Arabidopsis thaliana: one gene and its partners. The protein of the gene in region 3 interacts with the protein of the main gene of each other region in a pairwise test. Each region holds a gene or a part of one and is shown on either strand. Other genes may lie near its edges.

Region 1 (4,726 bases), on a different chromosome or scaffold from region 3:
TAAATCTCTCGTAATCATTCTATTTTGTTGTGTTGCAAATCGTGACCGTAATTCCAAGTGGAAGCTACTTTTGATTTACATTTAATTAATATGCAACCGTGGGATGACATATATTCTCCTTTTCTCTACTAAACAACCTATTTCATGTTTAAATATTATATTTTGTTTTGTTTGATTAATTATTTTATTGTGTTCGTATTAGGTTTGTTAATTGACCCTTTTCTATCATGCTAATATGTCACTTTCTGATTTATTATTACATTAAAGTAGGTGGTCTAATAGTAATTATTTATATGAATAGTTTTAAACTATCAAATAATGCTGTATACTATATATATTTTTCCAACTAAAAAATTATATAGTTATGATCCTTTGCGTCAAGTTTTTATTATTGCTTTGAAGAAAAAACATATTCAACTACTTGAAAATTACGTTAGCTTACCGTACGTGTGTTCAAATTTAATATGCTACAAAATTGTGTGAACAATATAATAGGTTTGTTGTATTTATTCGTTTTTCACCAATCTGGAGATATTTTGTGGTACAAGTATTATAACCACAATATATTCCATACATGAATTAGTTGTGAGAGTTATAGTCAAATTGGTTGGGATTCAAGAAGCATTATACTATTATTATAGAGTCCCACCAATTATTTTTGAACTCGTAAAATTCTCAAGATCTTAGAAATGTCTCCGTTGAAGCTTAGATTGTCTTTTACTCACCTTTATTAGTTTATTTATACGTCGTATTCTTCAATTTCAAAATACCTTTCATATATGAATTTGGGTGATATGCACACGAACACGATACGGTGAAATCAATTAGTTCCACAAGTCAAAATAGCTAGAAAAGAAGTATTGGATTTTAGAACAAAGAATAACGAGAGTCTTATTGTGTTTGTTACTAGTTTATAGAATCTAAAACAGGATTGCAAAAAACAAAAACATCAAAAACGAAGATGAGAGATGAAAAAAGAAAATCTTAGATTATAAAGAGCCCTAATTGTATTGCTAACTAATATTATATTCTTCTTTTAACGAGTTCGATTTTTCGAATAAAATCTACTTTAGTTAACTATTGAGATTCTTACAACAAAAAGGTAAAAAGAAGTGGAGCATCAACAAGCTTTATGTATTTGCATTGAACTAGCATGGGTCAACCCTTAAAAGAAACCGAGAAGCACAAAAGGTTGAATTGAACCTTGACCCATCTAACACCATAGGTTTTTAGGGTATTTATTCATTTATTGAATTCGGAAACTCGAAAAATAAAGTAGCTAGTTCATTCCAGTGATTTCAACTTTTTAAGTATATAATCCCCATGATTATGTATGTATGTGGACATGTCCACGAAAAGAGTGCCCATTTTCATATCAAGGAAGTTAGTAACTCTGACCAAAAGTAGATGTTTTAACACATCTTAGTATTTTTATATCACACTAAATTAAAGTAGTCTGTTTAATGTATTCTCTTAGAAAATAACATAATGATTTGCATGCACATAACAAATCCTATACTATTATTTTGGTAAACAAATTTGGTTTTGGAAACATCTAACTCTAAAAACCATCATTATTATTATTATTATTTTTTTTCTAATATTTTGGCATCCTACAATTTAGTTTATGATTGTGTTGATTATTATTTGGTTGTATTTGCATCTACACATTAAGTTAAACATTGATTTTAAAAATTAACATGAACAAAATGAATACTTACTGTTAAAACCTTATAACAATCAGATTTTTTTTTTAAACAAAGAATGGAAAAAAATGAATAAATTTGGGAAACGAGGAAGCTTTGGTTACCCAAAAAAGAAAGAAAGAAAAAATAAAAGTATTGAATGTGGAGATGAGAGGAAAAAAACACTTACTGTCATCTTACCCAGTTGCGTCATCATCAAACCCACAACACTCTCTTCCTCTTCCCTCTTCCTTCTGCTTATTTTACTTTTTCTCTTTAACCATTTTCCCGAGAGAGAAAAATAAAAAGAAAAGCTTTCTCTGGGTTTTTCTTGATTGGTCAATTACACATCTCCCTTTCTCTCTTCTCTCTCTCACCTTCGCTTGCTTTGCTTGCTTCATCTCTTTGGTCTCCTTCTTGCGTTTTCTATTTACTACACAGACCAAACAATAGAGAGAGACTTTAAGCTATAGAAAAAAAGAGAGAGATTCTCTCAAATATGGGTTAGTCCACAATTTTCACTAAACCTCTTCTTCTTAGGATTGTTTTTAGGGTTAGGGTTTTGAGGTGAGGAGAGCAAGTATGCGGGAGTTTCATCCTTTTTGAGTTACTCTGGATTCCTCACCCTCTAACGACGACCACCGTCGCCGCCGCCGCCGCCGTCTCGACGAATATGCTCTACCAATGTCTGACGACCAATTCCATCACCCGCCGCCTCCTTCTTCAATGAGGCACCGTTCTACGTCGGATGCGGCGGACGGCGGCTGCGGCGAGATTGTTGAGGTGCAAGGTGGTCACATTGTTCGGTCTACCGGAAGAAAAGACCGCCACAGCAAAGTCTGCACGGCTAAAGGGCCACGTGACCGGCGCGTGAGACTCTCTGCTCACACGGCGATTCAGTTTTACGATGTTCAAGACAGGCTTGGTTTCGACCGACCTAGCAAAGCCGTTGATTGGCTTATCAAAAAGGCTAAGACTTCCATTGACGAGCTCGCTGAGCTTCCTCCCTGGAATCCCGCCGATGCAATTCGCCTAGCCGCTGCTAACGCTAAACCCAGAAGAACCACCGCCAAAACCCAAATCTCTCCGTCTCCGCCACCGCCGCAACAGCAACAACAACAACAACAGCTTCAGTTCGGTGTTGGCTTCAACGGAGGAGGAGCAGAGCATCCGAGTAACAACGAGTCGAGTTTTCTCCCGCCGTCAATGGATTCAGATTCGATAGCTGACACTATAAAGTCGTTTTTTCCGGTGATTGGCTCTTCAACGGAGGCTCCTTCGAATCATAACCTTATGCACAACTATCATCATCAGCATCCGCCGGATTTGCTTTCTCGAACTAATAGCCAAAACCAAGATCTCCGTCTCTCGCTGCAATCGTTCCCGGATGGTCCACCGTCGCTTCTGCACCACCAACATCACCACCACACCTCTGCTTCCGCCTCCGAGCCTACTCTGTTCTACGGACAGAGCAATCCGTTAGGGTTTGACACATCGAGTTGGGAGCAGCAGTCGTCGGAATTCGGAAGGATTCAGAGACTAGTGGCTTGGAACAGCGGCGGTGGCGGCGGAGCAACCGATACAGGAAACGGAGGAGGGTTTCTGTTCGCTCCTCCTACTCCTTCAACGACGTCGTTTCAGCCAGTTCTTGGCCAAAGCCAACAGCTTTATTCTCAGAGGGGTCCCCTTCAGTCCAGTTACAGTCCCATGATCCGTGCTTGGTTTGATCCTCACCATCATCACCAATCCATCTCCACCGACGATCTCAACCACCACCATCACCTTCCTCCACCGGTTCACCAATCAGCAATCCCCGGAATCGGATTCGCCTCAGGTGAATTCTCTTCGGGTTTTCGCATACCAGCACGGTTTCAGGGCCAAGAAGAGGAGCAGCACGACGGTCTCACTCACAAGCCGTCCTCTGCTTCCTCTATTTCTCGCCATTGACAATCGAAACTAATCCTCTAAGTTTCAGGTTTATCTCAAGTTCTGTCCTTTTACATCAAATTCACTACTTTTGTACTTCTTTGGTCATTGAACTTTAAACCATTTTGCAGGGCTTGTCTAGCTTCCATGCACATTGAAGCTTGACTTAGATTGTCCGGAACAGGGAAGGTGTTCTCGGTTTGTGTAGTCAATGGCCTGAATCTAGAAAACGCAAGGAAATGAAGAAAGAACAACAGTTTCAGGTTCTTCTTCTTCTTCTTCCAATATCTTAACCTTGCCGATTGTAATTTTTCATATTTTCACCAGTTAGACCAACGTTCTTCTGTAGCTCAATTATGGTTAGATTCCAAGGTTTCGTCTTGTTGTGTTATGTTTGTAACTTTGTATCATCATCATCCTATTGTTACTGCTCCCTGTTCTTATTGTGTAACTCCGTGGATGTTCTAATAAAGTCTGAAACTTTCTCTTTGGGTTTTACTTTTACTGCTCTGTTCAGGCTAGATCCTTGTTATTTAAACAACATGAGATTCCTATTTCTCACGTAATCTTTTGGTCCCAAGAGATATAAGTTGGTCATTTTCCATGAACAGTAAGTTTTGAATTGTTTCTTCTTCTGGAACATCAGGGGGATTTAGCCAGTTCCCTTAAATTACAAGTGAAACTTAGCTCACTAAGAGTAAAAATATGATTATTGTTTTCTATGTCTGATGTCAATAATTGTTCTCTCTCACCTACTTTAGTGGTAGGAGGAGATCCACCAAACTTGAATGTGATGTTGTCTTTGATGAGTAAAAGAATGGGGACATGAGATAGGTAAAGAGAGCCACCCATGTTGGTCTAAATGAAGGAAGTTGATCAAAACTAGTCTATCTTCTCTATCATCATCATCTTTTGATAATAATATTGGATTTTTGCAAAGTTTAGTCAAAAACACTTGGGGTCTAAATGCATGTGTATTATAAGAATATTTAACTTTACCTTTTAATAGAAAAGCAGCAACACCTTTTCATGTGATGTAATCAAAACACACCAGATGGATGAGTTGAGATATCATAAAGTACGTTTACATCAAAAGATAGAAAAGAAGAATCTTC
Region 2 (4,082 bases), on a different chromosome or scaffold from region 3:
CTTTGTTCATGAGACAACAAAATTCTGGAGTCGGTGAAGTAGACATGACTTAATGGATTCTAAGTTTGTCCGATTTCTCCTTTGTTCCCATGTGATGTCTTAAGATAAAATGATCATCATCACACTTTCTTTTTCTCTTACTCCTTTGTTTCGATTCATAAGGATATATTGCTTTCGTCCACTTCTAATATTCTTATATCACTTTATTTAAAAGACAATGTACAATTTAATAAAATTAATAATTTGATGAATGTTATTGATTCATATAGATATTTAAAATGTATTTGAAAAAGGGGTACAAATCTTATTGTGAATGGATAATTAATTAAGTTGCATACTTCAAAAGACAATCATGTGGATACTTTTTTATTATTAGTTTTATGGATTTGAAATTCTGAAAAATACTCGTCTCAATTATTCTTAGAACATTAAGTTTGACCTAAAAGAATGGTTTGACTAGTAATATGGGAATTATATAGGTGCCCCTTTTCACAGATGATGCATCCGAATAACAAAATCATATTACTTCTTATATCCTACCGTCCATATTAATTATATTAGATTACACATTTAAATATAATATATACATCATTAGATCTAATATAGAAAATCTTATTAAAAAAAAATCCTTATATAAAGAAAAATCACAAGGTTAACACAACCTTATCGATAAATAAAGATGTTAAAACTGATTTTTATATATGAAGCAAAAGTAAATTAGGGCTTAGTGATGTCTAGTTAAAGTACTTGTGTTTTGAAAAGGTAATGAGTCATGACTCAACAAGGTACACAAGGCGTGCATCGGGTAAACCACAACCTTTTGTAATTGTCGATATAACAGCATGCCAATATTCACATGGACCATATACTGTGTGTATATTATATATTACCATATATGTGAGTTACATTTCATATTGTAGAACCAAGGACTAAATTTAAACATAATGTACCATATTCTTTTAATTAGATTATTCATAAGATATCCAATTTAAAAGATGAGTTAAAATGATCAAGAAAACGCTACGCTGAACTCTAAAGTCTAATCTTTATCATTTATAGAAGTGTTATGAAACAAATCAATACCTGGTTAATAATTGATGTAGTTTCATTTTTTTTTTTAAGAAAAGAAAGTGATGAAGTGTTTAACTAGTCATAATATTATAGATCCAACTTCATTTCAATATATCACGAGTGCATTGGCGGCTGCAAAACATATTTTTGAAAAGAGCAAAAAAAAAAATCAAGGATCATAAATAATATAGGTCTTGGCTTTTTAATTCTACCAATAGATTTACAGTGGACAATTAAAGAAAAAAAATCACGAAATTATCATGGTTTGGCTAATTGAGATAAAATTCATACGTTTTCCATCAATAATCGTACATCATCCATTTCACAACAATAATTATTCCTAAAATGTCGTTATTTTCATAACATTGGTTAGATGTTCTAATAAGCTACTATTATATATAACTTCACGTCAATGTATGTTTGATTTTGGCATCTAAAATTTCTGTAAAATTTAGATATTCGCGTATACTTTTTTTGGGATTTTCTTCTTAGCCGTATTATAACTGCAACTCATATCACATACGTGGATGATAAAATATTCGAGTTTAATATCTCCTCCGTATGTAGATTTGATATGATCCATAATATTAAAGATGAAAATGAACTTGACTGATTATTCAGCGCATTCATTTTATTTTCCCTTCGAGGATAGCGAAATCCGCCACGTGGCATTACTACATCCATTGCTTTTTTTAACATAAATACTTAAGTCGCAATTCTTCTAAATTTTGGAGGCTTATGATATTGGTAGGGTTCTCATATTCACTTCCAAAAGCATCTTCTTCTTTCTAATTTTCTTTTTCTTTTTATCTTATTTTCATTTTATTCATATACTTTTTGAAAAGAAAAGTCGAATCACATACTTTCTTCTCTCTATTTCTCATTCTCTCTTCTTCATCATATTACTCATTTTATAGAACAGCAAAACCCTAGATTTCCTGTTCAAGCTCAAGACCGTACAAAACTTTGGAACTCATGTAAGAAACAGTACACGTTTTTTTTTTTGTTTCTTCTTCAGTCCGGATTATAAGAATTTTGTCGATTGAAGAAAACAGGCTAAATTAAACCCTAATTTTCTCTCTTAGACAATTCCTACTTTCTCTCCATTTTTCTGGATTCGCTCTCGTTTTAAAAGGATTCAGAAATTAACTATATTATTTGAATTCTTTTGCCATAATTCCCTTATGTTTTCTGCTAATGGATATACATTTGGTCTTCTTTCTGTATTAGATATAAAGATCTCGAGAATAGCATTATGAATATCGTCTCTTGGAAAGATGCAAACGACGAAGTTGCAGGCGGCGCTACGACAAGACGTGAAAGAGAAGTAAAAGAGGATCAAGAAGAAACCGAAGTCAGAGCCACCAGTGGCAAAACCGTAATTAAAAAGCAGCCTACATCGATCTCTTCTTCTTCTTCTTCGTGGATGAAATCCAAGGATCCGAGGATTGTTAGGGTTTCACGCGCCTTTGGAGGCAAAGACCGTCACAGCAAAGTGTGTACGTTACGTGGACTACGTGACAGACGCGTGAGATTATCAGTCCCAACGGCTATTCAGCTCTACGATCTTCAAGAACGGCTCGGTGTTGACCAGCCTAGCAAAGCCGTTGACTGGTTGCTTGATGCAGCTAAAGAGGAGATCGACGAGCTACCTCCGTTACCTATCTCGCCGGAAAATTTCAGCATCTTCAACCATCATCAGTCCTTCTTGAATCTTGGTCAACGGCCCGGTCAAGATCCGACCCAACTCGGGTTTAAAATCAATGGATGTGTACAAAAGTCTACTACTACTAGCCGCGAAGAAAACGATAGAGAGAAAGGAGAAAACGATGTCGTTTACACAAACAATCATCATGTTGGGTCTTATGGAACTTATCACAACCTGGAACATCATCATCATCATCACCAACATTTGAGTTTACAGGCAGATTATCATAGTCATCAACTACATAGTCTTGTCCCATTTCCATCACAAATTTTGGTATGTCCAATGACGACATCACCAACAACTACAACTATACAATCTTTGTTTCCATCATCATCGTCAGCTGGTTCAGGGACTATGGAGACATTAGATCCGAGGCAAATGGTAAGCCATTTTCAAATGCCATTAATGGGTAATTCTTCATCTTCGTCTTCCCAAAACATTTCGACATTATATTCGTTGTTACATGGTAGTAGTAGCAACAATGGTGGTAGAGACATTGATAATCGGATGTCGTCGGTCCAATTCAACCGAACTAATAGCACTACAACGGCTAACATGTCGAGGCATCTAGGCTCGGAGCGTTGTACAAGTAGAGGAAGTGATCACCATATGTGAAGTTAGATTATTGAAACGATATAATTGTTGTTTGATGTGTTCAGAAATAAGGGGACACAAAACAAAATATAAGGTAATTACTATTGTACTATGTTTTGCTGATATATTTTTTAATAGACAAATTAATGTTATAAATTGATTTATTAATTTACTATTAGCATGTGTTTTGAAACTTTCTCATGTATATATATATATATAGCTTCCTCATAGGATCTGAATACACACAAACATACATGAAATGTATTATAAGTATCTGATAGTAATGTATGCACTTTGAGATGAGAAGCTAAATTACATTCAGATTCATCAAATATTTAGCAAAAAAAAAAATCAGATTCATCAATAGGTAACGTAATAATATGAAATTGAATCTAATAATTTATACTGATCTGTTATCGAGGTATTATGTTTCTATTGGATGCACGGTACAATGCAACTATAGAACTCAATGTGACCGTAGCTAGATAGATTATTAGATGATGATATAAGTGGAGATTCCACAAAACCCAAACAAACCTAACATTACTATGTCATGTGAAGCAGATATATATTGAACCCATTATCAAATAGAAATTCATCATGAATGGTTATTATACATACAAGTGCCCATTTTAAAATCTTATTAGCATAGTAAGTAAACTATCAAGATGCAAAGAAGCCATTCCCATATAAAAATTAAGATGTGTAG
Region 3 (4,026 bases):
CCTAGTGCAAGATCCGCGGTCATGCTCAATTAAGTGCTAAAAGTTAGACTAGTAGACCAAATTTGAATCCGATATATATATTACCTTGGTGCCGAACTCAAACTTAGACATGCTCGAACCTCAACACCAAGAACACTCGATGTTTTTGCCAATACTTACATAAAAGCTATTGGAGGATCACTAATAAATGATTGATCATCAATCATCATGCTTTGCGGACTCTCTTTTTCGTTGAGGGGTAAATGATTACAAATAAACATGCGCGCGTGGATATAACGCACTTGGTCAGTGCGTGTGGCACAAGTCAGAGTGAACACGTGGGACAGCCAGATCACACTGAAACACAACTCCGACATCTTGTCGGATCTTATGTAAAGCGTTGGGTCCCACTTTTCATAATATCTCTCACCACGAAACCCATCTTTTTGCTCTCAATTATTGTCGCTCATTGCCGTATCTCTTCATAATTTCACTATATACATGTCTACGTTAGGCGGAAATTATTAAATTGTTTTTGGAATTTTAGTTTACATGTTATTTTTTTCTAAATAAACATGAAATATATTTACAAAAGTATATCCAAACCATCATTTTTTTATTGTTTACATATACACTAATGACACTTTTATTTGGATTGTGAATTATGATTATGCAACGATCACTAGTAGTTTACTAGAACAATTAAGTTTACATGCTTCAGGCATTGTAAAACAACTATTTACAAAAACTGAAGTTAGTCTACAACTAGTTTTTGTGAAAAGAAAGGAATATTAGACGATAAAAAAGTAGGCAGCAGTTAAAGGAATCAAATAATTAACAAGTTAGCATTGATTGAGGCGGATGGTTACACATGATAAGGAGCAGGCGAGTGAGGAAACAACACAACACGCACGATCACGCTGTTATGACCCACATGCTCCTATCTCCATGTTACTGTACGCAAAGTGGTTATACATTTACACACACTTGACCAATATTGCTCACATTTAAATTTTTATTTCTAAAGGAAAAAGCACAAACATTTAAAGGTTTTACTGACGGAAGAAACGAAAAAAAGTAGTAGCTTTAAAATGTCATTGTTGATGAAAGTAGAAACCATGATGATGATATTTATGTGCAAATATTCATCTCACACGTATATCATTGGTTCATAACCGTTGGTTGGTCCACAACTTTGAACAAGTTCAGATTCTTTTTGATTGTGTTTTGTACCAACCACTCCAATTAGTCAATATTCCATTATATCCAACCTCAAATACTATTTTCCCTTTTCTCTTTAAAAAATATTTGGACAAATAATTGGCTACACTATTGGAGATTTGACTCAGCTCGGTATGCCGTAACTAATCAAGATACTATTTTCTATACTTTCTTTTATTGATATCCACATAATACATGTACTTTGAGTATAATGACGTGTACTTGATTAAGACAAAACGAAGTACGAGAATTATTGTATTTATCAACTTTGAGACATACTACATGATATGGATCATGAAAATTAACACAAGTAGTGCAAATTGCGTTATCCATATACAAAAAACATCGCACCTTGATGATTCACTTAATTGTAGATTACTTTCTCAGAGTGGTCCGGACATTTCTATTGGTTTTAAAGACATTGGCTTTAAATCTTCAGACACAAAACACATATACATGTGTACACTTGAAAACATATTGGCCATCTTATTTGTTTTGGACAAACTGCCATCTTATTATGCATGGGTTCTTGTAAGGAATAAACTAAAAATGTTTGTGAAAGAAAAAGAAAAACACAAATATTGAGAAAGTACAAAAAGAAAGACATGGCAAAGGCCAAAGGGGGGACACAAGTTGGAGATAAAGTAATACAAGTCCAAAAACAAAGAAACAATAATGATGGATTGTAATTAGCCACCTGACAAAATCTCTCATCATTCAAAGTACTATATTAATCCCCTCTCTTCTTCATTACCATCTCACATCTCTCTCTATTTCTCTTCCACAAAGAGTCCTAACTTCGAGTTGAAACAAACACCATTTCTCATCTCTATCTCAGAAAGAACAAACCATTTCGTGTTCTTTCTTTCTCTATTCTCATAAGGAAATATAATTCCTGAAACTGTTGAGTTCTTGTGAAAGGAAATAAAAAACATGATGATGGGCAAAGAAGATCTAGGTTTGAGCCTAAGCTTAGGGTTTTCACAAAATCACAATCCTCTTCAGATGAATCTGAATCCTAACTCTTCATTATCAAACAATCTCCAGAGACTCCCATGGAACCAAACATTCGATCCTACATCAGGTATATACTTAAATCTTCTCTGTTTTTTTTTTTAAAGAAACAGAACAGATTTCAGAATTGAAGTATGAGACTTTTCTTCGTTTCCAAGTAAAATAAAAACAGATCTCAAACTTAAAATTTGATTGCTCTTTGCAGATCTTCGCAAGATAGACGTGAACAGTTTTCCATCAACGGTTAACTGCGAGGAAGACACAGGAGTTTCGTCACCAAACAGTACGATCTCAAGCACCATTAGCGGGAAGAGAAGTGAGAGAGAAGGAATCTCCGGAACCGGCGTTGGCTCCGGCGACGATCACGACGAGATCACTCCGGATCGAGGGTACTCACGTGGAACCTCAGATGAAGAAGAAGACGGGGGCGAAACGTCGAGGAAGAAGCTCAGGTTATCAAAAGATCAGTCTGCTTTTCTCGAAGAGACTTTCAAAGAACACAACACTCTCAATCCCGTAAGTGTAAAAAAGTCAGAGGAATCAAATGATAATTATCGTAATTACTTTGAAATAACCAAGGTTATTATCATAATTTACAGAAACAGAAGCTAGCTTTGGCTAAGAAGCTGAACTTGACGGCAAGACAAGTGGAAGTGTGGTTCCAAAACAGAAGAGCTAGGTGAGATTTTCTTGTCTTAACACCAAAATTGTAAAATTACATTTATACCCCCTTGTGTAGAAGTTTTTACTTACAAGGTCCGATTTGGTTTTACAGAACCAAGTTAAAGCAAACGGAGGTAGATTGCGAATACTTGAAACGGTGCGTAGAGAAGCTAACGGAAGAGAACCGGAGACTTCAGAAAGAGGCTATGGAGCTTCGAACTCTCAAGCTGTCTCCACAATTCTACGGTCAGATGACTCCACCAACTACACTCATCATGTGTCCTTCGTGCGAGCGTGTGGGTGGCCCATCATCATCGAACCATCACCACAATCACAGGCCCGTTTCTATCAATCCGTGGGTTGCTTGTGCTGGTCAGGTGGCTCATGGGCTGAATTTTGAAGCCTTGCGTCCACGATCGTGATTTTTTATTTTAGTGGTGGGAAAAGGGTGTTTTGGTATTTTTCGTTATCGTTATATAGTCTATCTGTGTGGGGTCATTGTAATTTTGGATGATTGGCCTTCTCATGAACTAGTCCTATGTATGATGCAACCTTAAAAAGATTTAAATTAGCAAAAATTAGTTACAAACTTGCTATATTAACCAAAAATTATGAAACTATCTTTTTTTGATATCTTACAAGAGTTCTAAATTAAACCAAAAATTCACAAACGTCTTCTAGATAAATACACAGTTTCTGAGCATGGTATAAGTGTAGCTTATATGCAGTTGCTCAAAAAAGAAAAGAAAAAGAAGTGTAGCTTATTTGAAGTTCTTAACGAAATCATGAAATCTTGTGACCTAATCTGACTTCAATTGCTTTTCCGATTCAGATCTGACAAAGATGTATGAGCAATTCTTATTGGGTCTTAATGGGCTACATTATTATGTCGGCCCATACGTTTAGTCTTTCGTCGTCGTTTCCATCTGCGAAAGCGAAACTCTCCTATTTCTCTCACTCAAGTCTCATTCTTACGATTTTCTTAACGAAATCTTTCATCAATCGCTACACTTATAGCGACCCAGATGCCAAATTCATTGATTTCTCGTCTGGTATCTCCTTCATTACGATCTCAGCCCTCAAAAATCTCAGCTTTACGTTTTTTAACAACTGTCTCAGCCGCCGAGAGATTATACGGCCAGCTTCAAG

The links.
Region 1: the proteins of HAT2 (region 3) and TCP4 interact in binary tests that used the Arabidopsis thaliana proteins (3 or more experiments, as listed by UniProt).
Region 2: the proteins of HAT2 (region 3) and PTF1 interact in binary tests that used the Arabidopsis thaliana proteins (3 or more experiments, as listed by UniProt).

What each region holds. Positions count from the first base shown.
Region 1 is NC_003074.8:5,059,939-5,064,664, forward strand, and holds TCP4 (TCP family transcription factor 4), read left to right. Parts: upstream 1-1,742; 5' UTR 1,743-2,369; coding exon 2,370-3,632; 3' UTR 3,633-3,660; intron 3,661-3,742; 3' UTR 3,743-4,214; downstream 4,215-4,726. UniProt on the Arabidopsis thaliana protein: Transcription factor playing a pivotal role in the control of morphogenesis of shoot organs by negatively regulating the expression of boundary-specific genes such as CUC genes, probably through the induction of miRNA (e.g. miR164).
Region 2 is NC_003074.8:389,196-393,277, forward strand, and holds PTF1 (plastid transcription factor 1), read left to right. Parts: upstream 1-1,524; 5' UTR 1,525-2,048; intron 2,049-2,301; 5' UTR 2,302-2,326; coding exon 2,327-3,394; 3' UTR 3,395-3,572; downstream 3,573-4,082. UniProt on the Arabidopsis thaliana protein: Plays a pivotal role in the control of morphogenesis of shoot organs by negatively regulating the expression of boundary-specific genes such as CUC genes, probably through the induction of miRNA (e.g. miR164).
Region 3 is NC_003076.8:19,215,755-19,219,780, reverse strand, and holds HAT2 (Homeobox-leucine zipper protein 4 (HB-4) / HD-ZIP protein), read left to right. Parts: upstream 1-1,773; 5' UTR 1,774-2,133; coding exon 2,134-2,284; intron 2,285-2,419; coding exon 2,420-2,730; intron 2,731-2,813; coding exon 2,814-2,893; intron 2,894-2,989; coding exon 2,990-3,299; 3' UTR 3,300-3,510; downstream 3,511-4,026. Other genes in the region: AT5G47360 (Tetratricopeptide repeat (TPR)-like superfamily protein), read left to right, coding at 3,903-4,026. UniProt on the Arabidopsis thaliana protein: Probable transcription factor that plays a role in auxin-mediated morphogenesis. Negatively regulates lateral root elongation.